7 linked regions of the Sus scrofa genome follow. The protein of the gene in region 1 binds, or shares a complex with, the protein of each later gene. Links are inferred from orthologs where the notes say so. Each region holds a gene or a part of one and is shown on either strand. Other genes may lie near its edges. The genes, in order: RAB11A, RAB3IP, MYO5A, RAB11FIP2, RAB11FIP3, SH3BP5 and MYO5B.

Region 1 (2,994 bases):
GTCTTTGGGCTGCCCACCTCGGGGCGGGGTATGGGGTATCACATAATAGCCCCTCTTACTGTCTCCATATGGCCTCCTCTTAGTCTTCTGGAGTAGGATATCTTTCTTTGATAGTTTCCAGTCTGTTTTGTTGAAGGTTGTTCAGCAGTTGGTTGTAATTTTGTTGCTTTTATGAGAGAAGGTGAGCTTTAGTCCTTCTGCTCTGCCATCTTAATCCCCTAACTTAATGTTTAAAATCACTTGTAAAGAAGTTAAAATTGGAGTTCCCATTGTGGCTCAGTGGTAACGAACTCGACTAGTATCCACGAAGACCTGGTCCCTCTCAGGGGGTTAAGTATCCAGTGTTGCCATGCACTGCAGTGTAGGTTGCAGATGTGGCTCAGATCTGGCGTGGCTGTGGCATAGGCTGGCAGCTGCAGCTCCAATTCAGCCCCTAACTTGGGAACCTCTGTATGTTGCAGGTGCGTCCCTAAAAAGAAAAATAACAGTTAAAATTTGTAGGGGGGCACATTTAATCAATTGCACTTGAGAAAGAAGTGTCATCCCAGTTTGAGTGTAGAGAGAAATCATTAAGAAAAAAGAATGAATGGTATAGTTTTATAGTAAGTTGATGGTTATCTTTATTCCTTAACAACTAGCCTAATTGAATGATTGTCTTTTTACCCTTGACCCATTCTAATCTCATCCCTTTTCCATGTAAAGAATCTAATCGAGGATTCCATGTCCTTCATATCCTGGTTTTCTTTTTTTTAAAGTTTAGTTAGTAGCTTTCCTTTATTGTAATCTAATTTTTTTCTCTTTGTGCTTCTTTACCTTTGAACCACTGTCAACTTTCTAAAATAAATTTTACACACACCCCCCCAAAAGCATAAGAAAAGGTACAGTGTTTTTGTTAGTTTACATATTCAGTTGATTATAGCTTGTCGTTCAGCTTTAGGGAAATTATTTCTTAATTTGGAGAAAATATATTAACTTAGTTAATACGCTTCTTTTTCTTTAACTTTTTATTGTGGAAAGTTTCCCCCATACCAAAAGTAGGATGGTATCCTGAACTTCTGGGTAGCCATCAACAACTATCAGTTCAGAGCCAGTCTTCTTCCACTCACTCCCTCCCCCATTATTTTGAAATAAATCCCAGATATTATATCATTTCATTTGTAAAGATTCTGTGATGTAAATCTAAAACATAGAACTTAAAACCCATAAAAACAAAACCTAAAAATTAGCGGTCATTCCTTACTGTCCTCTGTTATCCAAACAGTATTAAAATTTCCTGTCTCAAATTTAAATCCAAATGATGTTCATACACTGCACTTGGTCGCTGTGTTCTTGGAGTATTTTGAAAATATGATTCCACTCTCTGTTTTTTAAATATTACAGAAATGATATAGTGAACACATATATCCTTCATCTAAAAATCTCAATTATTAACATTTTGCTGCATTTGGTTTATTTCTACATATATATAAGTATACTTTTTTCCCTTTTGCTCAATATTTGGAAGTTCAGTTGTAGATGTGGCATTTGCTACTAAATACTTGAGCATTTTATCTCTTAGGAACAAGGCATTCTCCTACATAATCGCAATACCATATATCACATCCAAGAACTCCGCGTATACAGTATTGTCTAGTGTGCAGTCCCCTCAGGGTGCACCATGGTGGGTAGAGGACGGCAGTGACTGATGGCTTGATGGTCTCAACATCTTTGTTTACTGTTCTGGCAGGCAGCATTCCTCAGCTTTATTTAATGGTAGAGAAAAAGGTTGCTGCTAAACAACTAGTTCTTAAGTGTCCTAGAAAATCAGTTGCCTGTTTTGAATAGTTATTTAATTACAATTCAACTTGAGTTCAGGAGGCACTGATAAACATTATCTTTCTCTTCTTTTCCAGGAGTCTTTTGGGATTGTGACTAATATATGAATTTGTGTTCATTCTTACATAGCCAATAGAAATACCTAATGTGTCAGATATTGCAAATTTGTTTTAATTTTTCTGTGGTACAGTGTCACTGTATGCAGTGGTTTTTTTGGTAAGGGTAGACCGAAAATACTATCAGGACTTAATTTAGATCTAAGCCCCCAAACTGTGTAATCTCTTTTAACCAAAATTAACTGGTGAACCTTTCTCTCTGAAATGGAAAACCTTCGTTTCTCTTTTTACCCTAAGGGAAATTGTTAAAATAGTGGGTTGACTCTAAATCAGTGGCTGTTTGAAAGTAAAACTTTGAGTATATGCAGTCTCTTTTCAGTTTGTTTATTTTCACGAATATAACTTCTGCCTCTTTGTGTTTTTCATATCACCTGTTGATGGCTCTGTTCACACTGAGTATTGCTGTTTCTTTTTTTTACTCAGAGATATACCGCATTGTTTCCCAGAAGCAAATGTCAGACAGACGTGAAAATGACATGTCTCCAAGCAACAATGTGGTTCCTATTCATGTTCCACCAACCACTGAAAACAAGCCAAAGGTGCAGTGCTGTCAGAACATATAAGGATTTTCTTTTCTCCCCTAGAAGAATGTGTATAGTTCAATTCCCAGGTCTGAGATTTAAATATATTTGTAATTCTTGTGGTCATTTTTGTTTTATTACTTCCTCATACTTATGAATTTTTCCATGTCTTAAGTCTTTTGATTTTAGCTTTATAAAATCATCCACTTGTCCCAAATGACTGCAGCTTTTTTTCATGCTATGGCTTCACTAGCCTTAGTTTAATAAACTGAATATTTGGATTCCTCAATTATTGTTTACTTTTCATCATGGAAGCTGTCACTGTAGGACATAATAGAACTTGATCCCTTGAAGCTTAGACCTATCGGTCTTGATTAAATCAAACTAAGAAGACTCTGGAAATAAGCTATTATTTTGCCACGGAGCAGCTTATAATTAACACACTCTTCTCTCACTTGCAGTGTGTATTTCCATGAATCTAAGAATTGCCCTATAAACATAGCAGAATTTTGAGAGCTTGAAAATTTTCCATTATTCTGGAA
Region 2 (4,161 bases), on another chromosome or scaffold:
CTGTGAGAGTCAGTTTTGAGTTGGCATGATGTTTAGACCAGAACCTGATACACCACAAGCGCTAGACTCCACAGGAGGAGCAGATGTGCAGATATCACCATCATCAGTAAACCTGGATGTTTTTTAACAAGAAATACAAATAATAACAACATCTTTCATCTGGATGTCTTCTTGTAGTCACAAAGCTCTTTCACAGAAGGTGTGGTCCAGGAATGGAAGGAGCAAGCCTGTTAGGAGTTCCATTTTGGACAGTCACACTGGGCGTTTAATCCTGGCTCTGCCATTAGTCAGCTACAGGACCACTGACAACTAAATAACCAGAGGCAAGTTATTTCACCTCTCTGAGCCTTAATTTCCTAATCTGTAAAAAGCAGTAACACCACTTATATGCCAGGAATGTTCTGAGGACTAAAGGAGTCAAGGTACCTGAAGCAACAAGCATGGCCCTCTCTCCAGCTATCTGTTCCTCTCCCCCACCTCCCACATGGAGTATCCCATTTAATTCTCATGCCACTATAAGGAAGTTCATTCTAGGTTGAGCCATAGTTACAACAGCAGAATACTGGCAAATTCATATGGTTCAACCTATTACTATATCCATTTATAAATGGAAAAAAATAAGCTCAGAAGTTAAATGATTTACTCAAAGTCATATGCATAGCAAGTAATGGAGCTAAAATGCTAAAAAACAGGGAAGTAATTTTTCATTAAAACTGATCCAGTGAGTTCTGCTCAGAAAAGGAGGAGGAAAAGGTATACTAACTACAGTAATACATGTAAAATTGCTGTAATCTACAAGTTTTTGTTCTACCATATCAAAAAACGAGGTGATGACAAAGACTTCCAAGACTCAATTTTAAAAATTATTTGTAGAGTGTCTATGTGTGTGTTGCAGGAGTTGAAAGTTTAGTGAAAATTGGAGGAAAATAAAATGAAAGAGAGCATATACACAGCTATACGAATTCAAAAGCTACAACTGGATCTAATTAGAAACCCCACTAGTCAGAGAATTCACAAAGCAGGTGAACATCATGTATCCATCCTGGTGAAAAGTTAGAGGCATTCAATACCACAGATGAGTTGTTTGCCGAACATTTAAGGAAAAGTTACATTAAACGGTCCCACTTGGGTTCACAAAGGTAAGCATAAATATATAACGTTACCACAGTGGAAAAAGAAAAAAATGAAAAGGCTCTTCTTCTAATAGTAAGAAATATGCTACTGTAGTAAAACTATATAGCTGCAAGTGTATTTCTATAAATTCTACAAGGGCTTTAGGATTAGATCACAGAAACCATATTTGGGATACAGTATCTGTCCAAACATGAAACGTCCTATCAAAATGCATGGTACCAGCAAATAAATAACAAATGTTAACAGAACAAAGCCCCATAAAACTTTTGGAATATTTAACAGTATCAAATATTGACTATGATTGGTCTACAAATCTATTCTGGCCCTTTTCTCCATCCTGCCTCTTTTCTCCTTGATATGTCATTCACCATTTTTTTTTTCTTTAAAATGGCATGCACAAAATAAGATTGAGGATAATGAACAGAAACTGGGCCTTTCAACAGATTTACAATAGAACAGTTTTGTTTTAATCCTCTTATCGGCCTCTCCTCAAATTATGTAATCATTCCACGGCAAAAGATTACACAGCTCTTTCCCTACTCTGAAATGAAGGAGTTGGAAGGGGAAACAGAGGAGTGGGAAACAGGTAGCCTTGGAATATAATACATTTCCACGAAACTAAACTGTTAGCTTCTTCATAATCGGTATTAACTGAGCGCTCTTAATTTTCAAGACCTTACCCTTTAGCCATTACAGGTTTTGTTTTAATCCCATAACAACTGGCAACTCTTCACGTGCCGCAGATTCCATCTAACATCACCACTTCCAGAGTCCATTAAGCTCGCTTTTCCCGGGGCGGTCGGAGCGAGTTGTCCACGCTGGAAGGGCAGCGCAATTACAATTATGTCTGTGCAGCTCCTCTCAACTCCCCGAAACAAAAGTCAGGCTGCACTGAGCTGCCTTCTAAGGCGAGACTCCGGGCACCGGCTCTTGCCCACCAGGTTTCGCCGAAACCTGGCGAGAGTGACCTCTACGCCTCGGCGCGGTGCCCGGGCTCTCGGTCCCCAGGACCCCCCGGTCCACGCCTACTGCCTCGCCGGGTGCAGCTTCCGCGCCGCGCTAGGCTCCAGACTTGTTCGGGAACTCTCTTTACACTCCCCCAAGATCCCAGGCCCCCAGCTCCTGGCTGCGCGCGCGCCCGGCCGACAGGTAACCCGGCGTCCCGCTCCCCGCCCCGGGCGTCGGGCTCCCGCCTTGGGCACTCGGGACTGCGCAGTTAATGAGTAACGCGCCTGGGCCCGGGGGACAGAGGAGGAGCCGCCGCCGCCCGCCGCCCACCGCGGCCCCAGGGGGCGCCCTGATGCCCCGAGGCGCCAAGCCCCCGCCGCCGCCCCTGAGGTCCCGAAGCCCGCGAGCCCAAACCGGGGAGCGCGCTCGTCGGGCCAGGACAGGGTCCCCGCGCGCCGCGCCCTCACTTGCACCTGCCGCGGCCGCCCCTCCAGGCCGGCTCGCGGGAGGCGGGCGCTGAGGGGGGCGGTGCTCCGCGTCCCGGGCCTCTCCCTCCCGCTACCGCACTCACCTGGCAAACTCACCGCTGCCGCGGCCCGCGCTCAGGGGCGCTCGTAGAGCCTCAAAGAGCGCGCCTCGAAGCAGTCTGAGGGAGAGGAGGACTGCCGGCCGACGCCGCTACACTCCACCGCGGCGGGTGCACGGCCGAGGGAGTGCGGGACTGCGCCTGCGCCGGGAGCCTGGCCAGGAGCCGGGAGCGGTCGGGCCCCCGCGGAGGAAGGCGGGGATAGGGGCGGGGAGGGGGCGGGGCGGACGAGCGCGGGGCCAGAGAGGCCGACGCGCTGCCGCGCCCCCTGGCGCCAGGCGGGGCTCTTCGCAGGTGTGGGGCTGCCGCCCCAGGTGCCTCCGCGGGCGGTTTCCCTGGGAACCAGGGCGAACCCGCTCTGAGCCCTGTTTCCTTGGGCTCAACAGGCGGTCTCGGATTCACTTGAAGCGTGTTGAGCTCTCCAGGTGTCGGAAAATGAACCTTCGATGTGAGTTGAGAACCGCTAGAACCAACGTGAGACTTGGCGTGCATTTGTACCTTACAATGTGCATGTGAGTGTGTGTGTGTGTGTGTCTGTGTGTGCGCGCGCCGGTGCTTGCGTGCGTGTGTCTGTCTCTCGGGGGATGGGTGGGAGGAGTCTGATAGAACCTAGATCCCAGCATTCCAGCAGCTGTTAGAGCATTCGAGAATGTTTCTGTACCTGCCCTCTCTCGTCCTTTTATGTCAACTCTTTTGTCAAACTTCCACCTCACTTTAGGTTCTCCAGAGAGGAAAAGTGAAAATACAAACCAGGATCCCGAAAATCTAATCAAAAAGAAGCAGTCACATCACAGTACGCGTTTCTATGTTTAGTAAAAGAGATATACACATATACATGATATATGTGTGCAGTAGGACACACACACTTTTTTTTATATTGATCACGTCTATTGGAGTTAGTAGAGAAGAGTATGTGTATGGCTATAGAAATCAGAATTGCTGTGTTTGGGGTTGGCACCTAGAATCTGTATCGGTGATCTTGGGCTAGTTATCTAATAGCCCCAATAAGTGGGGATAATAAAACTACCTACCTAAGTCGTTAAGAAATCAAATGGTTTAATATATGCAAAATACTTCGTGTACTTCATGACACAGGGTGCCTAGTGAAGATTAGCTGTTATTAACATCATTATTATGATCCACCTATGATACAAACAGAAACCCAGAAAGTCATTATTTACTCTTTTATACGACGTCTCCAGTATACCAAGTCTTAACCATTCTAATTCCCAAATAATTCTTAAATCTCTCCCATCTCTTACTGCAACTAGACATGACCTTCCTCATTAATGGACTCCTAACTATTCTCCCTTACGCTAGGTCATTCATTCATCAAACATTTATCGTGCTAGATCTGTGTGCCTACTGCTAGATGTGGGGACAGAGAAACCATTACACACAATCTCCATCATCCAAGCACGTAAACATAATCAAGAAGACAAATATGTTGATAACAACCAAGCAAAATGAATAAACTGCACATGCAGCAAACT
Region 3 (4,274 bases), about 45 Mb from region 1:
TTAAGCTCTGGATGATGTTTTTTAAAGGGGCACTTTTCAGATTTAACCACGATGGGTGAATACTATAATTATAGCATGTCACTATTACAAATTTCTTTGTAGTCTAACCCCAGAACTTCCTTCTCTATAATCCTCTGTAAGGGATAAATCCTCATGTTTATCCACTGATGTTACCTCTAATGATTTCCTTCTTCCTCTAATAATCACTACCCAAGCTTTTATCTCTAGAATCATTCCAACCTCCAAGTCCCAACCCGTTTTCTAACTTCTACAAATAAATACCATGCCAGCTGTCTGCCTGCCGCTGAGGTAACAGCAGGTTATTTATGCCATTGGAGATTCAAAGTGGGCCAAGAATATATGAAGCAGGCTGAAAGCCCTTTGAGGGAAAGGACTGTGTTTTGTTCATATTAGAACCTCTCAACAGTAAGCAGAGTACCTGGCACTCAGGAGGTGCTCAATAAATATTTTTGCCCACCATTAAGATAAGGCCCATTCACAAAACGAATTTGCTAGCAAACAAACCAAGTGACTAGATTATTCTTAGGTATAAACATATTTCAGAGAAGGCAGTTTAAGCTCAATTTCTCCACTGATGTCTAAATCAATGTGTCTTTACAGTGACTAGAGGGTGAACTTTAAAACAGATTGTGGGGAAGCTATGACCAAAGCCCAAAACCTTAGTGAAGAATAAGGTCTATGCAAAGTAACTAAGGGATATTTACTCTTCTTGTGAAAGCGACTCTGATTTCTTAGTACCTACCTCATATGTTTATTATGCAGATTAAATGAGTTATTATGGAGTTCCCGTCGTGGCTCAGTGGTTAACGAATCCGACTAGGAATCATGACGTTGCGGGTTCGATCCCTGGCCTTGCTCAGTGGGTTAAGGATCTGGTGTTGATGTGAGCTGTGGTGTAGGTTGTAGACGCAGCGAGGATCCCCCGTTGCTGTGGCTCTGGCATAGGCCGGTGGCTACAGCTCCGATTGGACCCCTAGCCTGGGAACCTACATATGCCAAGGGAGCGGCCCACGAAATGGCAAAAAGACAAATAAATAAATAAAAAATAAATGAGTTATTACTTGTAAAGCACTTAAAACAGTACCTTGCACATAGTTTATATAAATGTTTGTTACAAAATTTCCAATTGCATTCTGTCGTACACTAAAGATCTAAAATGCCTTTGGAATAACCAGGTTTAGAGAGAAGTTCCAACTGTGCAGTCTTCAAATCTGCAGCTAGAAAGAAAGAAATCCTAGGAAATGTTTCAAGCAAACCCATTTCATAGTTGAAGAAATATACCTCATATTTGCACAGAAATTCACAGGTTAAACAAAGTATTCTCATCTATTATTAAAGTTTGATCCTCACAACAACAGCCTTGTAATAGATACAGAGCAGGTGTAATTAACCTCATTTACACATGGGGAACTCCACAGAGGTTAGGTGATTTGCTCAAGGTCACACAGAAACTCAAAAGGCCAGGGCTAGCATCCAGGGCTAGAATCCGGGTCTCTAAATGGCAGGTCTAGACCTCTTCCTTCAATAACATGCTGCAACTTGGGCCCAGGGCTTGCTTGGGTAATATTTGGATACAAGGATTCTTGGACCCTAAATGTAGACGCTGTTGCAAATGCCAACTTGAAAAGTTAAGGCAATTCTGTTAACCGGAATTAGAGGTAGTTAACAGCTGGCAAAACACCTACTACCTACAAGGGAGTGAAAGTGTAAAATGCCATGACAACACAGTCACAAAGGACATTACACTGTCTTGAAGGTATGGTTCTCCAAAACATGCCATTCAGATATTACCAGCCCCAGAGAATACTAGCGTCAGTATAAGAAAGAAAGGCTGCTACTTCCCTTAAACTAAACCCAGGAGGAGAAGGCTCGCCGCAGAGGTTGGTGAAGACATGGAGCCTAACAAGGCTCTAAGGGATTATACGCAGGTTGCAAACTCCCAGTGACAAATGAATGCCGACCATTCTATTCTAGTCCGTGAATCAGCTCGCGTTTGTTCCGCCGCCTGCTCCCCAAGGGCCCTCCACCCCAGGGTAAAAATCTGAAACCAGGCAACTAAAGGTGAAAACTGGCGAAAGATTCTAAATCTCACACAGAAAGGTTGGCTGGCGGTAGAAGTGGCACCGCATACCAACACAAGACGTTATTTTAAGCGCGTGTCCCCAAGGGAGGGACCGACCAGATCTAGCATCTCCCACAAGCCAGCATTTTTCCTAAAGCAAGACGGAAGGCTGAGCAATCTTGACCCAGGCCCGCCCTACTAAATCCACACGGGTTCCCTTAGAAATCCGCACTGCTCGAAGCCCAAGAAGCTTGGCAGGGGCCAGAGAGGCACCCGAGGCAGGCCTCCTCCGCCTTAATCATCAACGACTGAACGAGGAAGGCGCTTTCGCCGGCTGGCGGCCGGCGAGCAGGGCCAAGGGTTTTGAAATGCTCGGAAAGGGGTGGTACCGGCCCAGCAAAACCGGGTCCTCAAGCCCCATGCCCCTCCCCAGTATGACAGCTGGCGGCGTGGGTCCGCGGGGTCCCCTCCCCACAGCGCGACTCGCGGGGCGCCTTACCTTTGTGTAGAGCTCGGACGCGGCCATGGCGGGCCCCGCGGCGCCGACGCCCCCCAGTCCGTGCGGAGGCCGCACCTCGCCTGGGCGGCCGCCCGCGCCGACTAGGAAGCGCCCAGGCTGCCTCCGGCAGCGAGCAGGGCAGGGCCGGGGCGGGCCGCGCCGGGCGGGGCCGGGTGGGGCGGGGCGGGGCCCCTCAGACGCAGGCGGCCCGTGGGGGCCTCGCCATCACTCCCGGGCTCGCCGCGAGTAGTGCCGCGCGCTCGGCGCGCCCGGGGTCCTCGGGGTCGCCACCGCAGCCACCCTGGCGGACGGTGATGCTGCCGCCGCCGCCGCCGCCCTGTGCATTGTGGGAGCGGGAGGAGGCTGCGCTCCCGCGCTACCACCTCGGCTGCTCCGGGTTCTCTCCAGCTCACGCTGCCTCCCATCGGCTGCGGGCACCGAGCATCAGCAGCCTGCCACCCAGCGTCGTCGCCGCCGCCGCCTCCCGCGCTGCCGAGACCCAGAAGCCCGCCCTAGGACACCTGCCGGTTGCACACCCGTCCCGGGGGGCATGTCGTCCCCTGGACTCCCTCGATCCCAAGCGAGCCCTGGACTGTGACAGCTCAGCCCTGAGAAGGTTGGTGTCACTGAAGGAGTCCAGGGAAAAGGCTAGGAGTCTCCAGGCTGCTTCACCTGTGCTTCCAAACATTTCTAGGGAAATGATTTGGGGCGAGATTTCTTGGAAGGCCATAGAATAACTTAGAATTCCAGAAGAGCCTTGTTAGCAGTATAGAAGTCTAGGAGTGAGCAAGGAACGGGATAATGAGAGAATAACCAAGGTCACCCCAAAGATGACTGCACCCCTCGGCATCTGCAGTAGGGTCGTTTCTTGATGCAGGATCGTATGGGCCTGTTTTAAGCTGCAGAGATATAAGTGCGCCTTGTAACAAGATGCGCAAAGGAGGCAGCCCTGGAGCCTCTTTTGCTTCCAGGCCTGTGCCTAGTGGTGCCACTACCTTTCTGCCCCGGCCCTTTCTCTATCTAATCGTTGTTATCCTTGCACTTTGAGCACAAGAATGTGATCTTTCCGCCCCCCCCCGCCCATGCTGTCTTCACATATACCTGCTCCCAAGTCACACTTTCATTCTGGCTTGGCTAATGGTCATAATTTTTCAACCTCTTTTTAATGTGCTCATGTGATACCCAGTGCCATTCCTGGGAATCTGGCATGGTTTCTATCAAGACCACCTCTCAAGGCTAGCCCCCTTGGTAGTGTGTGTATCCTGCATGTGTATTTGAAGGGAGAGCACTGATGAGGGGGACACTTGGGTCAAGTGCTCCCTGGAACTCAGGTCTCGCCTCCCCTTACTCACTGCCCACAATCTTTTCAGAGATGCCAGAGGAATAGCTACAGAATCCTGCAGAATTCTTTGTACTTTCCATTCTAAAGCCATGTATCTTTCACGTTTTTACATCCTATCTTTTCTTTGCCCAGACATACAAAAGAGGAAACCATGCAGCTATGAGCAGTACACCAGAAAGGGCACTGGATTGAGATTTAAGAATTTTGAACTCTATCTCTTGAGTTTCTTCATGCTTTGTGTATTGACTATTTTTTTACCCTCCTGATAGTACCTACCTCCATGAACTGTTGAGAAATGCTGAGTATGCTGAGAAGGGGTTCAGGGCGTGTGTCACCATGGGGTATACTGC
Region 4 (4,084 bases), on another chromosome or scaffold:
TGCAGTCTTAACACATCCCAATTTTCTTCACTTAACAGAGTCCATCCGTCTTCGCCCTCAGGGTAAGTAAGGAATTTGTCAGTCGCCCTTGGTGAAGGAGGCTGTTTGTTTTCTTAGTTGACTTCGTTTTTAATACTTGCAGATTGACCACTGGGTTTGGCTTCTGAAGTTAGATGAGTGCCCAGGGGTTCCTTTTGATGTTAAGCCCTTACAGTTGTCATGGGGTCTCAGCCATAACGGAGAGCTATTTTAACAGTGAAAAAAACCAAGCCTCAGGGAAGGGAAATAACTTGACCAAGGTCGTTCAGACTGATGGTAGCAGATGTGGGATCAAGAACTAGGTCTGTGTCCAGCCCAGTACTCATCGTGACCTTTATTAATTCCCTGTGTTGGCTTTGGGATCTTTTTCTCTGCTTCCCTCTCTTCTGTCATCTGAGTAGGGGGTGGCATTCCAGTCAGTTAATCGCCTCTCTTTTCAAATAGAGAAGAGTGACTGAGGGTTTGGGGAAAGGTGTGTTTTTCGGCCAATGAAGGGGACTGATTTATTTCACCGCTATTCATCGAATGCCCGCTTGGTGCCAGGCACTGGGCATCCCGGGTGCAGCAAGGACAGCGTCCAAAGATTGAAACCGGGTTTCTCCCTAGGCCGGCAGTTCCTGGCCTAGACTGCTTTCCTCTCGGAGCGGTCTTTCGCTGTCCCCAGAGACTCCTTGACGTGCGGGTCCCCAACTCCCCGGCACCCCGGATCGTGACAAGGACCAAGCGAGGTGAACCCGCTGGATCAACACGCTGCCCTGGGAGCCGAGCTCGCGGCCTCAGCGCCCACGCGGCACACCCCCGGTCACCACGGCAACCAGGGAGGTGCTGACCCCTGACCCCATGGCTCCGCCCGGCCCCGCCCCACGCGTTCCTGAGATCAACATGGAGAAGGCCAACCCGGAAGTGCCGGCGCCGCCCGCCCGGTGCTAGGAGCCGCCGGCTCCGGGAAGGCTGAGCCCCGCGCCCGCCGCCGTGCTGCCCAGGGCCTGTCCCTGGTCCTCCTGCTGCGGGGCGGCCGCCTCCCCTGCCCCTGGTCCCACTCCACCCCGCGGCGACCCGCCCCCGCCCCACCTCCGCCCGAGAGGAGGAGCCGAGGCGAGGGGAGGAGGAGGAGGGAGAGGTTTGCGAGAGGGAGCGAGGCCGTGCGAGCGGCCGGCGGTTCGTATTACCGGGGTCGGGAGGAGGAGCCCGACCGGGCCGGTGGACCTGCACCCGGGAGGCGCGGAGGAGGCGGGGGCGGCCCGGCCGCGAGGAAGCGGGCGGGAGCCGGGGGCTGGGAGTCCGGGCAGGAGGCGCCCTCCCACTTGCGCCGCCCGCAGCCCGGGCCTTGGCGGTCGGGCCTTAGCTGCCCGCAGGCCCGGGAGTCCCCCCCCCACTCCCCGCCGCCGCCGAGGGCCGGTCCCGAGGGCCGGCGGAGCGTTGAGGTGTGGACGCGAGGCGCGGGCCTCCGCGCGGAGGCCTGGACGGCGCGGCCAGGTGATGGTGGGGCCCTGTGTTTCTCCAGAGGAAAGGGGACCCCCAGAGCAGCCGTCTTTGGGCTGCCCCAGCGAGGCGTTTGGACGTCAGCCCTAGGGAAGTCGGGCAGCTGTGCGGTTGCCTGTCTCCGTAAGTGCCCTTAGGATGCAGTGATTAAGGAATTAGGCTCTCCCTCCCGGGAGGGGCACTGCCTGCGCTGTGAACTCGGTGCAGAGAAAAAGGACAGGATGATGCTTTCCGAGCAAGCCCAAAAGTGGTTTCCGACCCACGTGCAGGTCACCGTGCTCCAAGCCAAAGATCTTAAGCCAAAAGGCAAAAGTGGCACCAATGACACATACACTATAATTCAGCTGGGCAAAGAAAAGTACTCCACCTCCGTAGCTGAGAAAACGCTTGAGCCAGTCTGGAAGGAAGAGGCCTCTTTTGAGCTCCCTGGATTGCTAATGCAGGGGAATCCAGAGAAATACATCCTTTTCCTCATAGTTATGCACAGGTCCCTGGTGGGTCTGGATAAGTTTTTAGGGCAGGTGGCCATCAATCTCAATGACATCTTTGAGGACAAACAAAGAAGGAAAACAGAGTAAGTTATGTAATTTATTTTGAATTGGGGGGAGCGTAATTTTATCTTCTTTATGGATTTTTCTGTTCTTGGAAGTTACTTGTCTACCTGGGGCATGGGTTTGGGGACTGAAATATGACCCAGTTTTAAGCACCATATTTGCATGAGTCTGAAGTAAAAATAGCCCTTGTGAAGAAACATTTTCATAAATGGAGTCTTTAATGATCCCTTACTCTCTCACTTGTTCGAGGCAAACATCTTCGTTAACTGAATGTTTTGCACACGATTTTAAGTATATTAATATTGTTTCACTTCTAAGAGGACAGGAACAGTGTTGACCAGCTAAAACAACATATATGTAAAATGTTATACTCTTTAAACATTACAGTTTTTCAGGAAATGGAACAGCCATCAGAAAGCCAAATCTGCCAATGTAAGGTCTTTTAGATGGGTAGATAGATTGATTGATTTTGCAGTTGAACTCTTACGATGTCAAGTGATAAATTACCCAAGTTAGGACTCAGTATTTTATTTCAGCATTATAAACACAGTTGGCTTTTATTTTAGCTCAGGCATTTTTCAGGGTCAGCACATCTCGATGGAGTCTAAAGCTGTTAAAAAAAAGTTTCAAAAGTGGGTACCAACATCCTCGACCTTGAACGCCATTACTTCCAAGTTCTGCAAAGCCAGGGTGTTTAGACCATATTACATGTTGTCAGATTGGAGACTGATTAAATTCTTGTGAGGAAATGATTTAATGACATCTTCAGTAAAAATCATAGGCCTTTTTAATCTGACTTCCAAACGTAGAATAGATATAGAGTCTAATTTAAAAAGCCATAATATAAGTTAAAACTAGGATGTTATGTCTTAAATTGAAAAATAGTATGTTTTCTGAGGTAGGGATACCCAGCCCTTCTTTAAGCTTGTAATTTCTCTCTTCTGAGAGAACATTAAAGCTGATGGAATTTATGAGAGAAAAATATGGGTTGCATTGACAAGAGGACTTCAGATTTCAAAACTAACTTTGGTGTTTCAGTTATAACTGAAATTTTATTTACGATTTAAAAACTTTTATAATGATAACTTTCTTGAAGTTCATGTTTTATTTTAAAACAACCACCTCTTGTTCCTTCTGTACATACCTTCCTGCAAGCTGCTCTGGATTGGAATTTTTATTTTTATTGAAAAAAATGTTTTTGGAGTCAGTTCTTTACCTAAGGTTTAATGTATGTCTAAATGGTAGCGTGAGAAGTAACACTAGGAATGCAGAGGAAAAATGGTAACTATTTACACTACCCCGAGAAGGTGAAAATATTTTAAGGGCAGAAAAAGGTTTTAAAAAAGTGCAAAGTTGAATATATATGAATGATTTTAATGATGTTTGGTAACTACAAAGTAGCATGCAGTTACCCCCGAGAAGTTCTTCATCAGATTTAAACTGCAAAGTGGATAGTCCCCAAATAATTTCTTTCAAATTGCCAATTTCGGATGACCTTTCATATAAGATTTAAAGTGTTTTGAATGTGAACTTTTAAGTAGATTGCATCTTCTGATTTCATACTGTATTTACAGTACTTTTAATGTTCATGAATGATGTACTGCAGGCCTTCTCTGGAATATAAATTTTCCAAGTGAAAAATAGGCCCAAGTGTGAACCCAGAGATTCTGAGGCTGAAATAAGCCTTTAAAGTTTCTTCTTGTTTTACTCCTTATCTTTGGCAGCATCACAATACAATAAATTTGGCTGTAAGCAATACTCTTAATATTGTCGTCTCCCTACAGAAATTCTCTCTTGGCTACTATATAAAATGGATTAGAACTTTTGGGGAGGAAAACGCGTTTAAATGTTATCAGCAGGGCTTGTGATGTTATTGCCTTCAGCATGATTTTCATATGTTATTAATCCCTAATGTTTTCTTTCTTTGTGGCTAAATGGGGACCACGTATTTGATGAGGTATCTTTATTGGTAATATTTCTAGTTTTTTAATATATTGAATGGCTTCCTT
Region 5 (4,232 bases), on another chromosome or scaffold:
CGCAGACGCGGCTCGGAGCCCGTGTTGCTGTGGCTGTGGTGGAGGCCAGTGGCTACAGCTCCGATTCGACCCCTAGCCTGGGAACCTCCAGGCAGGTGCAGCCCTAAAAGGACAAAAAAACAAAAAACAAACAAAAGCACCTGGAGCAGCCATCTCGGTCCAAGCTAAGCACACAGGATATTATCAGTTGTGTATCTCTCCGTCCGTCAGACTAAGAGATGGGAAACCCAATCTCAAGCAAGATCTTCCAACCCAGAGCTAAAGCAGGGCGTCCCACAGACCCAACGCCGACATGCAGGCCCACTGCCACATGCACATCTTCCCAGGCCGGGACCTCAACAAGGAACCTGAGCTCAGGCAAGCCGGTTCTGCACCCAACAGCTCAATGGACACTGTCAACACTCACGGGCACCCGGATCCCTTGTACAGGCTCTTAACGTGATGACGGATGCTCTGAAAAGCAGGGTGTCAATGATGCCTCTTAAAGACCTCTGGGCTTAAACATGTATCCACGCTTGAACAGCCACTTTACGAATGTCCGCAAGTGTGAGAAGTCAGCAACACACAAAAACTAGCAGATCAGCATTTTAGGAATTTCCTATTCCTAAGTCAAAAATTTACAAGTAGGAGTTCCTGTCGTGGCTCAGTGGAAACAAATCTGACTAGCATCCATGAGGACACAGGTTCGATCCCTGGCCTTGCTCAGTGGGTTAAGGATCCGGCGTTGCTGCGAGCCGCGGTGTAGGTTGCACATGTGGCTCGGATCTGATGTGGCTGTGGCTGGCAGCTGCAGCTCTGATGTGACCCCTAACCTGGGAACCTCCATATGCTGCCGGTGTGGCCCTAAAAAAAATAATAATAATAAAGGCAAAAATAAAAAAAATTACAAGTGAACGTCGGTAATCAATTTGCATGTATTTGGGTTAATACCAGAACACACACAGCCCTGCTGCTGTCTCCACCTAAACTTTCCTAAGCGCTGGGAGGGAGGGACTGGAGGGTGAGGGCCACCTCCTCCTAGCGCAGCCACAGCCCCGGGGGGCTGGGCAGGACCCCCTGCCCCACTGCACTGTGCCTTCCCAACACCTGCCCCACAGGCGAGGAGGTGGCCCTGAGGCAGTTCTGCTCAGGCTTCCTCAAGTCTGCATGCACCATGGTGCTCCGAGGCTCATTCCCCTCCCTCTGGGCTTCCTCTCTTTCCCTTCTGCACAGAAGGAACAGCAGTGAAATTTTTTGGCATTCGGCGTCTCCCAAACAACGAGTCTATGGAGAACATATGCCAACCACACACAGTAAAGTAACTGCGCTCAAAATAGACGTCTGGAACATGATCCCTAAGCGTCCAGGTGCCCCGTGGCAGACCCAAGGAGCGAATTACTTCAGCCCGACCAGACCTGGGCCCTCCGCTGGGGGAACGGCGGGCACGTCTGCGGAGGGCACTTCCATCGGGCAGCCTGGGGGCATGTCCCCAGGCCAGGCGCTCCCCTCGACTTAGGAAAATATCCAGCTTGTGTGGCCTGAGACGTCAGGGAAGACACTAAATCCCGGAATTAGAACCTCTCTCAAGGGGAAAGAGGCGCTTCGGCGAAATTCGACCAGAGGTGAGGGCAGAAGTCAAGCACGAGAGGACGCGGACCCCGGCCTTAAGTGCCCTCCGCGACCCCCGCGCACGGAGCCCGGCTCCCACGCTGCGAGTTACCTGCTCTGCCCCGTAGACGGTGGCGAACTGGACGAAGTCCGCGATGCGGACGAAGCCGTCTCCATCCCCGTCCAGGGCTTCGAACACGGCTCGGAGCCGGGGGGCGTCCTCCGGACACCCCGCGGGCTCGCTCGTTAAGGGGCGGGTCTGGCTGAAGTCCGAGGGCCGGTCCGGGTCCCCGGGACCCAGCTCCAGCGCCGGCTCGCCGACCTCGGGCGAGGGGAAGGGGGGGAAGAAGTCGACCTCGCCCCGCAGGTGGTGGCTGCGGCTGAAATCCTGCGCGCGGGCTGTCGCGCTGTGCGGGCAGCTTGGGGGGCCGTCACCCTCCGGCTCAGCGGTCCAGGAATAAAGCGGGCCTAGTTCCGACAGCGGCGGGTCGGGGTCGGGGTCGGGGTCGGGATCGGAGTCGGGGTCCGGGTCTGGGGCCCGGCCAAGGCGCTGAGGCCTCCGCTCCGGCCCCGGGCCCCGTCCGGCCTCCGGGCCGGCTTCGGGGTCTTGCGGGCCGAGCCCCAGGTGGAGGGCGGGAGCGGAGGGCGCGCCGGGCCCGCCGGGGTCTGGGTCGGGGCCCGGGCCGCCCGAGGGGGAGGCCGGCCGGCCCGGCTCCATCTTCATGGGCGCGCCCCCGGCCGCGGCGCAGGCCCGCGAGGCCAGTGGAACGGCGGGCGGCGCGGGCGGCAGACAAAGGCGCTCAGGGCGCGGCGGCGGGCGCGGGCATCCCCGCGGCGACGCGGGCGGGCGCGCGCGGGGCGCCCGGGCTGCTCGGGCTGGCGCTCGGGCCCTGCTCCGCCCTCGCCCATCTTCGCGCCGCGCCTCAGCTGTCCTCGGCCCTGCGGCGCGGCGGGCGCGGGCCCATGGCGGCGGCGGCGGCGGCGGCGGGTGGCACAAGGAAGCCGAGGGTGAGGACGAGGAGGGGAGGCTAAGGAGCGGGTCGCCGAGGAGGGGGATCTGGAGAATCAGGACCCTAAACAGGAGGACGGCGCGCAGGAGGACGCTGAGGGGAACACGGTTGAGGAGGACGAGGAGGTGTCCGCGGTACCCGAGCTCACGCCGCCGCCCTCGCCCCGCCCTCTGTCGGCCTGACGTCATCACGTCGCGCCGCCATCTGGCTCCGCCCCTCGCCGGGCTGCTATAAAGGCAGGCAGCCGCGCTGCGAAGCTGTGGGGCTGTATGTGGGTCTCCCTTCCTCTGCGGCACCGGGAGGCTGGGTGTAAAGGGGGCGAATGCGCTGGAAGGCAGCAACCCCGGGCGTGACGTCATGCACCCCCACACGCAACGCGGATGACTGCGTCTTGCCTGCATAAAGAGCTCCCTCAAATTGATAAGCAACGGATGCGATCCAACCGGGCGAGCGAAGTGCGCGTGACATCCTCCTCCCGCAACCGTGGCTCGCAGTCCCGGCCTGAGTGTGGAAGGGCCCTGAACATGCGGTCCCTCACTTGTGACCCAAGGAACGGGTGGCCCAACGCAGAGGCCTTTTTTAAAAATCTCGGACAGGAGTTCCCGTCGTGGCGCAGTGGTTAACGCATCCGACTAGAAACCATGAGGTTGCGGGTTCGGTCCCTGCCCTCGATCAGCGGGTTAAGGATCCGGTGTCAAGGTTGCAGACGCGGCTCGGATCCCGCGTTGCTGTGGCTGTGGCGTAGGCCGGCGGCTACAGCTCCGATTCGACCCCTAGTCTGGGAACCTCCATATGCTGCAGCTCCAATTAGACCCCTAGTCTGGGAACCTCCATATGCCACGGGTGCAACTGTAAAAAGAGAAAAAAAATTCACAGAATTGTATCACCAGAGAATGAATTTCACTGCGTGTAAATTATACCTTAGTAAAAAAATAATTTTTTAAAAAAATTATCCCTGTGTTTTCTTTTTCTTGTTTTCCTTATGTCCTCTGCCTTCCTCATGTCTTTAGAAAACACTAGCCCCCTAGGCCTTCCCCGAGTTCCAAAGAGTAAATTTAATTAGAAAAGTGAAAAAAAAATGTAGAAAGAAAGGAAAAGAGTCAAGCAGCAGACAGACAGAACAGTCAAGGAGCCTTAGTTAGCTCCTCCTCAAGGGGGCTATAGATCACTTTTTTTTTTTAGGGCCACACCTACAAACCCACGTCCTCATGGACAGTAGTCGGGTTCAATACCCCTAAGCCACAAGGGGAACTCCGATAGATCATCTTCCGAGCTGTTTTTTTGGGTTTTTTTTTTTTTTTGTCCTTTTGCCTTTTCTACAGCCTTACCCTGAATCATATGGAGGTTCTCGGGCTAGGGGTCTAATTGGAGCTGCAGGCCAAGCCTACACCAGAACCACAGCAACTCAGGATGCAACCCACACCACAGCTCACAGCAACGCCGGATCCTTAACCCACTGAGCAAGGCCAGGGATCGAACCCGAAACCTCGTGGATTCTTCGTCGGATTCGTTAACCACTGAGCCATGACAGGAACTCCCTTCAGACCTGTTTTGCAGAGGCTGAAACCCCACCAGGTGAAGAAGTTAAGTATATGGAGCCCACCAGCTCCTAGTCCCCAGACCAGCTGGAACGGA
Region 6 (3,987 bases), on another chromosome or scaffold:
CCCTGCAATTTTGTAGTGAAGGAGACATTAGCAATGGCCAGTGGCAATGTCCTTGCCTGCTTCACTAAAGTCATCTGACTTTCTGCTCCCCTGACATCACAGTGGATCTGACATTTCATAAAAGCACAGATATACCCTTATTCTTTGGCTTTTTGTGATGTTGAGTTTGCCAGGCAAGTAAGTTCTGGCTCCCTACCTGTTTGGGTGGGCAGGAAAACTTACTAGCTCATAAATCCTTGGACAGAGTGTGTCCATTAACAGGGGTTACACTCACATCTTTTTTTCTTTTTCTTTTTCCCGCTACCCCTGGAGTATATGGAAGTTCCTGGGCTAGGGGTTGAATCAGCACTGCAGCTAGGTCCCTAACACCACCAGCCACAGGCAAGGTGGGAGCCGAGATGCATCTGCAACCTATGGTTGCCTGCAGCAAGGCTGGAACCATACTCATTGATCGAGGCCAGGGATTGAAACTATCTCCTCACAGTGACACTGTCAGGTCCTTAACCCACTGAGCCACAATGGGAACTCCACACACTCACATCTTCTTGAGAAGGCTGTACCCACCCACTGATCTGTGGATTTTCCATGCGTCCTGGCTATTCAGGGAGGATCACCTAACCCATCGAAAAGCACGTAGCTTGGCCCAGTGGGGGCCACAGCCTTTGGACCAAGAATCCACGCATGGAGCTGCAGCTGGCTCCTCTCTTTATCCTTTTGTGTTTATGTGAGTATATGTTGTAGTTCCCTGTTCTGGGGAAATCTTCAGGTGGATTCAATTCCCAAGGTCACCCACGGGGGCAAAGCGCTTCCAGTGTATACAGGAGTTTGAGTGAGTCTTGAAACTGGTCCCGGGTCACTGAATACCAGCTTCTAAAGGTGACTTCAGACAGTGGCAATACCCCTAACTTCCCTTCCAAGCAGTTAGTTTGCCTGGGCAGAGGAGGGAGGGAGAAAAGCACTCTTGTCACCAGGCGGCTGACGTTGGGGAGCTTGTGATCTCTCCGGGCTGCTAAGTTAAAAGGGGTGAGGGCTCCTCCATTTCACGACCCTAAGGTTTTCCGGGAGTGAGGTTTTGTGACGGAGCCCGGGTGCCGGGGCCATAGCTGGGGCCGCGCAGGGCGGGCGGGCCGGCCTGGGGCGGAGCGGGCGGCGCTGCGCTTACTGCCGCGGCGGACAGGGGGCGGCCGCGCCCACTTCCTCCTGCTCGGGGCCGGGGACCCGCGGCAGCAAGCGGCGCTTCCAGAGCGCACCGGGCGGTGGCCAGACGGCCCCGGCCCAGCCTGCGAACGCCACTCCTGCGCTCCGAAGTCCGCCGTTCGCTTCGCTCTCCGGCCACCCGCATGGACGCGGCGCCGAAGCGGAGCCGGCCGGAGGAGGCGGCCGAGCTCCCGCCGCCAGCCCGGGACTCGGAGGAGGAGGAGGAGGAGGAGGGGATGGAGCCAGGGCTGGAGGAGGAGGAAGAAGTGGACCCCCGGATACAGGTAGGGCGCGTGGATCCCGGCAATGGCACTGAGCCCGCCTCGCGGTCCCCGGTGCTTGCACCCGGGAGAGGTGGCCGCGTAGGTCCGGGGCTGGAGGAGACAGTCAGAGTACCCGGCTTCACCCGGTTCCTGGGAGGCTGCGGTGCCCGCGTGGACGCGGCCTGACTCTATCGCGGGGATTACCCCGCAGGATCCGTGGGGTCGCCGCAGCGTGTCCGGCGGCTCGGGAGGGTGTGCAACAAAGAGAAAAGGGGGCGGGGGCGCCACGCCGGGCTCCCGGAGCCCGAGGGCCGCGTGGGCGCGGGCCGGGGGCGGTGGGCGTCGCCGCCCCTGCAGCAGGGTGGCCTCTCATGCTTGGGGTTCGGAGCACTCACCTGGCGGAGGTGCCCGGCCTGAGCCTGCCTGAGCCTTCTCCCTCTTGCTTTGATTCGTTGTTAGCAGGACGAAGGGTTTATTGTCACCACGGCTCAGCCCTCCGCTTGGCCTCAAATGGTTTAAAACCCAGCGTTTCCTCCTTTTGAGGTCGGCAGTGAACAGAAATTGGGGGCTAACAGCGCAAAGCTAACGTGGCGAGAAGGCGAGGGGATTGGCCTGGCTTCCTTGCCTCCATTTCTCTGGGAGATGATTAAAAGACAGTTTCCAAGCCGAGATCTAGCAGCGACAGCTTAACCTCTTCACCCTCTGGGGAAAAAGCACAGCATATTCCGTTCCAAGACTCTTTCCATAAATCATTTTTTAAAATAAATATTGTTTTGCAGCACGCGATGCGATTTCTGAAGACCTAATTGGTTTTTCAGTGCGCAGATCAATTAAAAGCTCATTTAACTCAGCTGTTGGCGTTTAAATGAATTGTTACGGCAGGTTAGCAAGACAAAGATCAGGTGGAAAAATCTTTACATTAGGAATTCTAAATAAAATCAGTTTGAACTACTAAATTTTGTTTTCTGGGTAGGGGAATTCTGTTGACAAGATCCTTTGTTTGCAGAGTAAAATGAGTTAACTTCATACTGGGCACTTTTTTTTTTTTTAAACAAAATGTCAGTTTGTAAATGTTATTTAAAGATCAATGTTTATGTTAGTTTTAGTTTGTTTTGTAAACAGCTAGGAAGGTTGAATAATTGGCAGTTTGAAAAGATTTTCGTCTCTAAAGAAAAATACTCAACCATGGATGAGTAAGTGCCAGAATTCTGCCTTGATATAAATCATTTCACTGGGTTTTTACTTTTGGCATGGTTTTGTTTGCTTGCTCTTACTGGTTTGGGTTTTTTTTTTTTTTTTTTCTTTTTCCTGCAAGTTTTTGCTCTAAAGCAGAGGGTTATTGTTTGGATTCAGCCCTTAAATCATTGTAACAGGTGAGTTTACCTGAAGGCACATACCTGGAATAAAATATTTGACCTTCTAAGAAAAGAAAATTCCTCGGACCTTAGTCATTTTCAGAAGGGCTACCACCCAGATAAAGGTTTCAGAAATGCTGACATTTCATTTGTTCTTTAGCCAAGGCTCAACTGTTTTCCTTGAAAATTAATACTGACTGGTTCCTCTTCCTGCAAATGATGCTGGAGTAATTTTGCAGGTTGGGAGGGGGGCAGAGTCATACCAGAACAAAAGACAATCCCTGAAAGCTTTTTCTCTCCCTTTTCTTCATCAGGGAGAACTGGAGAAGTTAAATCAATCCACGGATGATATCAACAGACGGGAGACTGAACTTGAGGTACAGAAAGCTGGGTGCTTGTTTTTGGGGAAGTGGCGTTGTCTCTCTGACACCAGGCTGGTTCATTTTGTTTTAAGAGGTGGTTGCTGGCATTCACTTTCGCAGTTGAGCAACAGCCTGCGTCTGACAGAATAAATACACCACTGAGTCCAGCTTGTGGGTGGAACACATGTGGATCCAATTTCATATATATTTTTTTAATCATGGAACCTCCATGGGGCCAAAAGCAAGGGCTTTACACAGACTTAAGCCCTGAAGTTAATGTGTCTGTGGAAAAGTTAAAAGGACTGAAGGGGAAATTGGCTGTGTACTTCAATGGACAGGAGTGAATGAGGTCACACAAATCTCTTAAGCATTTTAAGGGAGCTCCTTACATTGGTGCTTGGAAATAGTGTGTGTTTCCTTAGGAAGATTTAGATCTTTATTGACTTTCTGGGCTGAGAACCCTTCCCTCCCCCCACACCCCTACCCCGCTTCTACCCCTTTATTTATCGACTGCTTGTGCGTGGAATATAATCATCTCAATGGTAATGAAAGGCTGTTTTTATTTATTTATTGTCTTTTTGCCATTTCTTGGGCCGCTCCCGCGGCATATGGAGGTTCCCAGGCTAGGGGTCGAATTGGAGCTGTAGCTGCCAGCCTACGCCAGAGCCACAGCAACGCAGGATCCGAGCCATGTCTGCAACCTACACCACAGCTCACGGCCACGCCAGACCCTTAACCCACTGAGCAAGGCCAGGGATCAAACCCACAACCTCATGGTTCCTAGTTCGATTCGTTAACCTCTGAGCCACG
Region 7 (4,189 bases), about 64 Mb from region 1:
TTTGTGCCAGGTATGATGGAAGCCAGAAAGTTGGAACTGGGTTGGGGGTGGGGAGAAAGGAGGGTGACATGAACCTCAGGTTGGTCCAAGGGCCTGGCAGGATTGCTAGCATTGCCTATCTGGCAGGTGGAAAAGTGGGTCTAAAGGTTAGAATTGGATTTGAGAGTTAATATTGCAGTAAGAGATGAAATGGGGGTGTGCCTGAGAAGAAATGTGAGATCTGGGAAATGGGCCACAGCTTTATTCAGGAACCAGGAAGAGAAAGCAGAAGGTGTGGTTAGTGAGGCTGGGAAAACAAGAGAAGAAGAACGACAGAGGCTAGGGGAGGAGGTGGTTTAACAACATGGGGAGAACCAGTTACCAGCCCGTGCTTCAGAGGGAGATGGCAATTTCAATAGGATGGAGCTGAGAGGAAACCATTTTGGAGGGTATTAAAGCAGCAGCTCTTCACCTTGGCTGTCATTAGAATCATTTAGGAACTCTTAAAAACCCCTTTGCCCAGGCAGCATCCAAGACAAGTTAAATCAGAATTTCTGGGAGTGGGAGCCAAGCATTTGCTTTCGTAAAAGTGATTCTCATGCAGAAAATGTTGAAAAACAGTGAATTACAGAGGGACTGGGTGTGGGTAAGTGGAGCCAGCAGTAGAAACTACCACTTCAAGAACTTTAGTAGAAAAGGAGAACAGAGGAAAAGTCAAGAGCTAGTGGAGAGATGGGACCACGGATGGAGCATGGTGGTGGAGCAGGCAAGGACATATGGAGCAAAGGTGGGGATTGGGCCTTCCTAGCCCGAGAGGAAAGAATCTGTGGCAGGGGTGAGGACACAGGATGCCAAGCCCCACACCCCGCCTTTCTGATGGGAAGGTCTGTGATGAGGCCCCATATGTTGTATTTCTAAAAAGTTCCCAGGTGATGCTGATGGTCCTGGGTGGTGGGGCGGGGTGGGGTGGGGCTGTCACACTTTCATAACTATCAGGATACGGGGAAGGAATAAGGGGAAGGAAACTATGTAGACAGATTTTTGAGGGAGAGAGAAATGATGGAATCATTTCCTTTTTGTTCTTCCCAATGTTATGAAGAGCTTCCTTTCAGATCCAAGAAGAGTTGCCCAAGCTTTGTTCACTTCCTTTATCAACCCTGGAAATAAAATCCTTTAGAATTATGGAGGAACTTAAAACTTCAGATGCTTGGGTCTCACCCTTCAATGAATCCGAGTTCCTCAGGGTGGGGAACCCCTTCCTTGGAAGGGCTTTAAAGCTCCTCAGGTGATTCTTACTGAGGAAGCATAGTCGAGAAGGGCTGCAGGTGGATTAAATGGAGATCCTGTCTTCCAAGTGGGAGGGTCTTAAATGGGATGAGTTTAAGAATCACCTTTCAGGGAGCGGGGCTCTAGAACAATTGTTCCAGCGACATAGATGGATGCTTTGGTTGAGAGCCACTCTCAGGGGCCATCACTCATTCAGGTACAAATGCCACCTCAAAAGACCAAATGTTTCTTCCTACAGCTCCTGCGCTCCCTTTACTGCCTCCTGCCAATTAATTTCCTCTTTGGCTGAAATTTCTACTTTATGTTGCAAGCAGAAGAGGGAGTGGCGCTGCCAATGTCACTGGCAGAACCGACAAAAGTAAATCAGGTAGGCAGCGGCAGAGGGACTGAGAGTGCGTGTGAGAGAGAGCGGAGAAAATGTGAGACTTCCCAGAAAAGCAAACAATTTTCTGATGGGGGTAGGGAGCCTAGCCGCAAGCTGTGGGTGAAACTGTCAAAGTGGAGAAGACTTCAGCTCCCACCTTTCCGATCAGGATTTCAGCGCAGGCAGCTCAGTTTGGCGGAGACAATCTTTGGTATATCCAAATCACCCTAATCTACGACATAACGATTTTTAATGATGCAGGTATTGAATGTAGCCCCGTAAATCCAGAGGAAAATGTATGGAGTCTTTCAGCTGCAAGCATTTCTCCTTTTTATTCCTCTTCTCCCTTCTCGGATACTTCCACCTCTTTTTTTTCTGATCTGCACCGGATCCCCGCCCACCGCAGGTGCCCGGACCCGGAGCGCACCTGTCCGGAGCGCGCCGGGCGTCCAGCAGGGGGCAGTCGGCGCCGGCTCCTTGCGCGGCCCCGCCCCCGGCCAGGAGGACCCCTCTGCGGCGGGGGCGCGAGAGGGCGCGGCGGGTTCGGCCCGGGCAGGGCTCAAAGGCGGCGGCGGCAGTGCGTCCGCCGCCCGCTCGGACGCGCGCCCGCCCTCTCCCTTCTCGGCCGCCCCCCTCGCCCGCGCCGCCTCCCATACCTGAGCCGGGAGCGGCGCTGCGCGGCCTCCTCCCCCGCCCGCCCGGTCGCCACTCCTGCCCGGCCGCCGCTGCGCCGCCACTGCCGCGGGAGTAAAGGTCGCGCCGGCAGAGAGCGAGCCGGCTGCGGCGCCTCCAGGAAGCCGGCGGGGCAGGTTGGAGAAAAGGGGAAAGAACCGAGAAACTCTCGAACAGCCCAGGAAGATGGCGCCAGGAGGGCCGGCCATGGACTGAGAGCCGCTGGGGCCGCGAAGAGCCGGACCCGCCCCCCATTGGGGCACGAGCGAGGGCAGCCCGCCAGGCACCGAGCTCGAGCCCGGGCCCGGCCCGGCCTGCGGGGTCATGTCGGTCAGTGAGCTCTACAGCCAGGTGAGTGCGGGCCGCCTCGGGCCCGGGGCACAGGTGAGGGCTGAGGGGAGGGCGGTCCTCGGGGGCGCCTTCTCCTGCGGCTCGGCGGGTAGGGGCGGCGGTGGACGCCTCTCAGCCTGCCCCCTCGCCGCCGCCTCCGCGCCCCGAACTTCGGGAGGCAGAGAAAGTTTGGCTGTTCCGGGAGCGCCCCGCGCTGACCGCCCGCGGCTCCCACCCCTGGCAGGCTCCCTGACTCGGTGCGGTTGCTGTTCTCGCCCCAGCTCAGTCCGGTCGAGGTCCCGATACCTTAGGAGCGACCCCACCAGTTCGGAGCCTCCGGCACTAGCACAGCCCCCCACGGTGCTCCCCTGCTCGTGGACCCCACATCGGGGCTCTGCATCGTGGGCTCCCAAGGGCGACCCTCGCGTGCCATTAAGGGGGATCCCTCAACTTGGGGGGTGTTCCTACATTTGGGAGTGGGGAGAGGGGGGACCCAACCTGGTGTGAGAGGCGCGGCGGCTGGGGTGGGTGGGTAAGCGGTGGGTGGAGGATGCTCCAGGGAGTTCCCGGGGAGGTGCATTCTCACTGTGCCAAGGATGGGCATTTTGAAGCGGGCGCTCGGCGGGGGGCACTTGGTGGGCTTCAGTCATTTCGGGGAAGGAATCGGAGTAATGCTGACGCGGGGGTGGAGTGTGGATTTACACGATGCTCTCAAGGTCAGAATGGATGTGTGTGGGGTTTGGTCCTCAAGAGTCGGGAACAGGTGCGGCCGGGCGGAGAAGCCCCGGTTCCGCAGCAGTTGCTTTGATTAAAGTTAGAGGCCAGCCACCGCTTCCTGAGCGCCCTCCGCGGAGCGGCAGTCGTCTGGACCCCTTCGGGTTTCAACTTGGCGCGGGGTGAGGGGTGGGAGTGGGGGTGTGAGAGGGGCAGAGGCCTTTCAGTACGAACCCCTCCCCTCTCAAAAAATAAAAAATAAAAAAAGTTTTGCCTGTTGTGACACCTAGGCTGCAGGCTTATCTTCTCTGTGGCCGGGACACATTTGACAGTGCCTCGCACCCACCTTTCTGCATGCAGAGGGGTGCGTGGTGTACGCTTGGGGTGTGTGTGTGATCCAAAGGACCAAGGCCCCTGGCCAGCAGGTCTGGGCGGGGAGCAAGAGCTACTTCCGCATCCTCACCTGGCAACTGCTCGCAGCTGCCCTGCGCGTGGGCGAGCCCTTCAGCTTTGTGGACTGGCCACCCATTTTCATTTGAAGAATTTTCTAATCCCTTCTTCCTCTTGGAGGGGGACAAGGCCCAGTTGGGATGACAGGAGATGGCAGTAGAGGGTGTAACCTGGCTGGGGGCGGAGTCTCAGCAACTTTGGCTACGTGCTCCTCCCCCATCTAGGTCCCCTGATGAATGACGGCTTCTAGGAGGAAAGGGTGTGAGGTTTGAGCCAGCAGGTGAAATCTCTGGCGTTTCTGGCTTTGGAAGGGCACCCCGCCTAGTTTCCCGTGGGAGTCTTGGGCGGTCAACTTTCAGTTCTTTTCCTGAAGTGGGTTGTCCTGAACCTTGA

The links.
Region 2: the proteins of RAB11A (region 1) and RAB3IP are in contact, whole or in part, in a crystal structure (PDB 4UJ5), measured with the Homo sapiens proteins. The link is inferred for Sus scrofa from reciprocal best matches to the Homo sapiens genes RAB11A and RAB3IP. Residues at the interface, in NP_004654.1 of Homo sapiens: Phe36, Leu38, Glu39, Asp127, Leu128, Arg129, His130, Leu131, Arg132, Ala133, Pro135, Thr136, Leu156; in NP_783322.1 of Homo sapiens: Asn367, Thr368, Leu369, Ser370, Ile371, Glu372, Pro373, Asp412, Arg424, Thr428, Cys431, Asn432, Thr435, Tyr439, Leu444, Val445, Lys446, Gln447, Gln448.
Region 3: the proteins of RAB11A (region 1) and MYO5A are in contact, whole or in part, in a crystal structure (PDB 5JCZ), measured with the Homo sapiens proteins. The link is inferred for Sus scrofa from reciprocal best matches to the Homo sapiens genes RAB11A and MYO5A. Residues at the interface, in NP_004654.1 of Homo sapiens: Arg33, Glu35, Ile44, Gly45, Val46, Glu47, Phe48, Ala49, Thr50, Gln63, Trp65, Gln70, Tyr73, Ala75, Ile76, Ala79, Arg82; in NP_001369276.1 of Homo sapiens: Ile1660, Gln1661, Trp1738, Met1742, Arg1745, Tyr1746, Ser1749, Gln1750, Glu1753, Arg1756, Gln1777, Gln1780, Val1781, Lys1782, Lys1784, Met1795, Glu1818.
Region 4: the proteins of RAB11A (region 1) and RAB11FIP2 are in contact, whole or in part, in a crystal structure (PDB 2GZD), measured with the Homo sapiens proteins. The link is inferred for Sus scrofa from reciprocal best matches to the Homo sapiens genes RAB11A and RAB11FIP2. Residues at the interface, in NP_004654.1 of Homo sapiens: Arg33, Ile44, Gly45, Val46, Glu47, Phe48, Ala49, Thr50, Lys61, Trp65, Arg72, Arg74, Ala75, Ile76, Ala79, Tyr80, Arg82; in NP_055719.1 of Homo sapiens: Glu478, Ile481, Asp482, Asn483, Leu485, Val486, Met489, Glu490, Pro493, Ser494, Leu496, Arg497, Val498.
Region 5: the proteins of RAB11A (region 1) and RAB11FIP3 are in contact, whole or in part, in a crystal structure (PDB 2HV8), measured with the Homo sapiens proteins. The link is inferred for Sus scrofa from reciprocal best matches to the Homo sapiens genes RAB11A and RAB11FIP3. Residues at the interface, in NP_004654.1 of Homo sapiens: Arg33, Ile44, Gly45, Val46, Glu47, Phe48, Ala49, Thr50, Trp65, Arg72, Arg74, Ala75, Ile76, Ala79, Tyr80, Arg82; in NP_055515.1 of Homo sapiens: Asn731, Phe732, Gln735, Ile738, Asp739, Arg740, Ile742, Val743, Met746, Glu747, Pro750, Ser751, Leu753, Glu754, Val755, Lys756.
Region 6: the proteins of RAB11A (region 1) and SH3BP5 are in contact, whole or in part, in a crystal structure (PDB 6IXV), measured with the Homo sapiens proteins. The link is inferred for Sus scrofa from reciprocal best matches to the Homo sapiens genes RAB11A and SH3BP5. Residues at the interface, in NP_004654.1 of Homo sapiens: Tyr8, Asp9, Tyr10, Leu11, Lys13, Glu35, Phe36, Asn37, Leu38, Glu39, Ser40, Ser42, Thr43, Ile44, Phe48, Lys58, Gln63, Trp65, Tyr73, Ile76, Ala79, Arg82, Gly83; in NP_004835.2 of Homo sapiens: Asp42, Ile45, Gln46, Leu49, Glu50, Asn53, Thr56, Ile59, Asn60, Glu63, Thr64, Glu67, Lys240, Tyr243, Leu247, Leu250, Glu251, Ile253, Ser254, Asp255, Ile257, His258, Arg261.
Region 7: the proteins of RAB11A (region 1) and MYO5B are in contact, whole or in part, in a crystal structure (PDB 4LX0), measured with the Homo sapiens proteins. The link is inferred for Sus scrofa from reciprocal best matches to the Homo sapiens genes RAB11A and MYO5B. Residues at the interface, in NP_004654.1 of Homo sapiens: Leu11, Lys13, Arg33, Glu35, Ile44, Gly45, Val46, Glu47, Phe48, Ala49, Thr50, Gln63, Trp65, Glu71, Arg72, Tyr73, Arg74, Ala75, Ile76, Thr77, Ala79, Tyr80, Arg82, Gly83; in NP_001073936.1 of Homo sapiens: Ile1627, Gln1628, Gly1629, Leu1630, Trp1706, Met1710, Arg1713, Tyr1714, Ser1717, Gln1718, Glu1721, Arg1724, Gln1745, Leu1747, Gln1748, Leu1749, Lys1750, Lys1751, Glu1755, Ala1759, Leu1763, Tyr1779, Glu1786.

What each region holds. Positions count from the first base shown.
Region 1 is NC_010443.5:163,885,248-163,888,241, forward strand, and holds the end of RAB11A (ras-related protein Rab-11A), read left to right. Parts: intron 1-2,354; coding exon 2,355-2,494; downstream 2,495-2,994. UniProt on the Homo sapiens protein: The small GTPases Rab are key regulators of intracellular membrane trafficking, from the formation of transport vesicles to their fusion with membranes.
Region 2 is NC_010447.5:34,001,830-34,005,990, reverse strand, and holds the start of RAB3IP (rab-3A-interacting protein), read right to left. Parts: upstream 2,801-4,161; 5' UTR 2,654-2,800; intron 2,516-2,653; exon of another isoform or gene 2,497-2,515; intron 1,953-2,496; 5' UTR 1,826-1,952; coding exon 1,815-1,825; intron 1-1,814. UniProt on the Homo sapiens protein: Guanine nucleotide exchange factor (GEF) which may activate RAB8A and RAB8B. Promotes the exchange of GDP to GTP, converting inactive GDP-bound Rab proteins into their active GTP-bound form.
Region 3 is NC_010443.5:119,164,277-119,168,550, reverse strand, and holds the start of MYO5A (unconventional myosin-Va), read right to left. Parts: upstream 2,801-4,274; 5' UTR 2,610-2,800; coding exon 2,583-2,609; intron 1-2,582. UniProt on the Homo sapiens protein: Processive actin-based motor that can move in large steps approximating the 36-nm pseudo-repeat of the actin filament. Can hydrolyze ATP in the presence of actin, which is essential for its function as a motor protein. Involved in melanosome transport.
Region 4 is NC_010456.5:128,108,150-128,112,233, reverse strand, and holds the start of RAB11FIP2 (rab11 family-interacting protein 2), read left to right. Parts: upstream 1-1,284; 5' UTR 1,285-1,742; coding exon 1,743-2,095; intron 2,096-4,084. UniProt on the Homo sapiens protein: A Rab11 effector binding preferentially phosphatidylinositol 3,4,5-trisphosphate (PtdInsP3) and phosphatidic acid (PA) and acting in the regulation of the transport of vesicles from the endosomal recycling compartment (ERC) to the plasma membrane.
Region 5 is NC_010445.4:41,282,199-41,286,430, forward strand, and holds the start of RAB11FIP3 (rab11 family-interacting protein 3), read right to left. Parts: upstream 2,801-4,232; 5' UTR 2,786-2,800; coding exon 1,700-2,785; intron 1-1,699. UniProt on the Homo sapiens protein: Downstream effector molecule for Rab11 GTPase which is involved in endocytic trafficking, cytokinesis and intracellular ciliogenesis by participating in membrane delivery. Recruited by Rab11 to endosomes where it links Rab11 to dynein motor complex.
Region 6 is NC_010455.5:2,582,802-2,586,788, reverse strand, and holds the start of SH3BP5 (SH3 domain-binding protein 5), read left to right. Parts: upstream 1-1,187; 5' UTR 1,188-1,340; coding exon 1,341-1,481; intron 1,482-3,129; coding exon 3,130-3,192; intron 3,193-3,987. UniProt on the Homo sapiens protein: Functions as a guanine nucleotide exchange factor (GEF) with specificity for RAB11A and RAB25. Inhibits the auto- and transphosphorylation activity of BTK. Plays a negative regulatory role in BTK-related cytoplasmic signaling in B-cells.
Region 7 is NC_010443.5:99,808,135-99,812,323, reverse strand, and holds the start of MYO5B (unconventional myosin-Vb), read left to right. Parts: upstream 1-1,389; 5' UTR 1,390-1,414; coding exon 1,415-1,462; intron 1,463-2,173; exon of another isoform or gene 2,174-2,626; coding exon of another isoform or gene 2,627-2,653; intron 2,654-4,189. UniProt on the Homo sapiens protein: May be involved in vesicular trafficking via its association with the CART complex. The CART complex is necessary for efficient transferrin receptor recycling but not for EGFR degradation.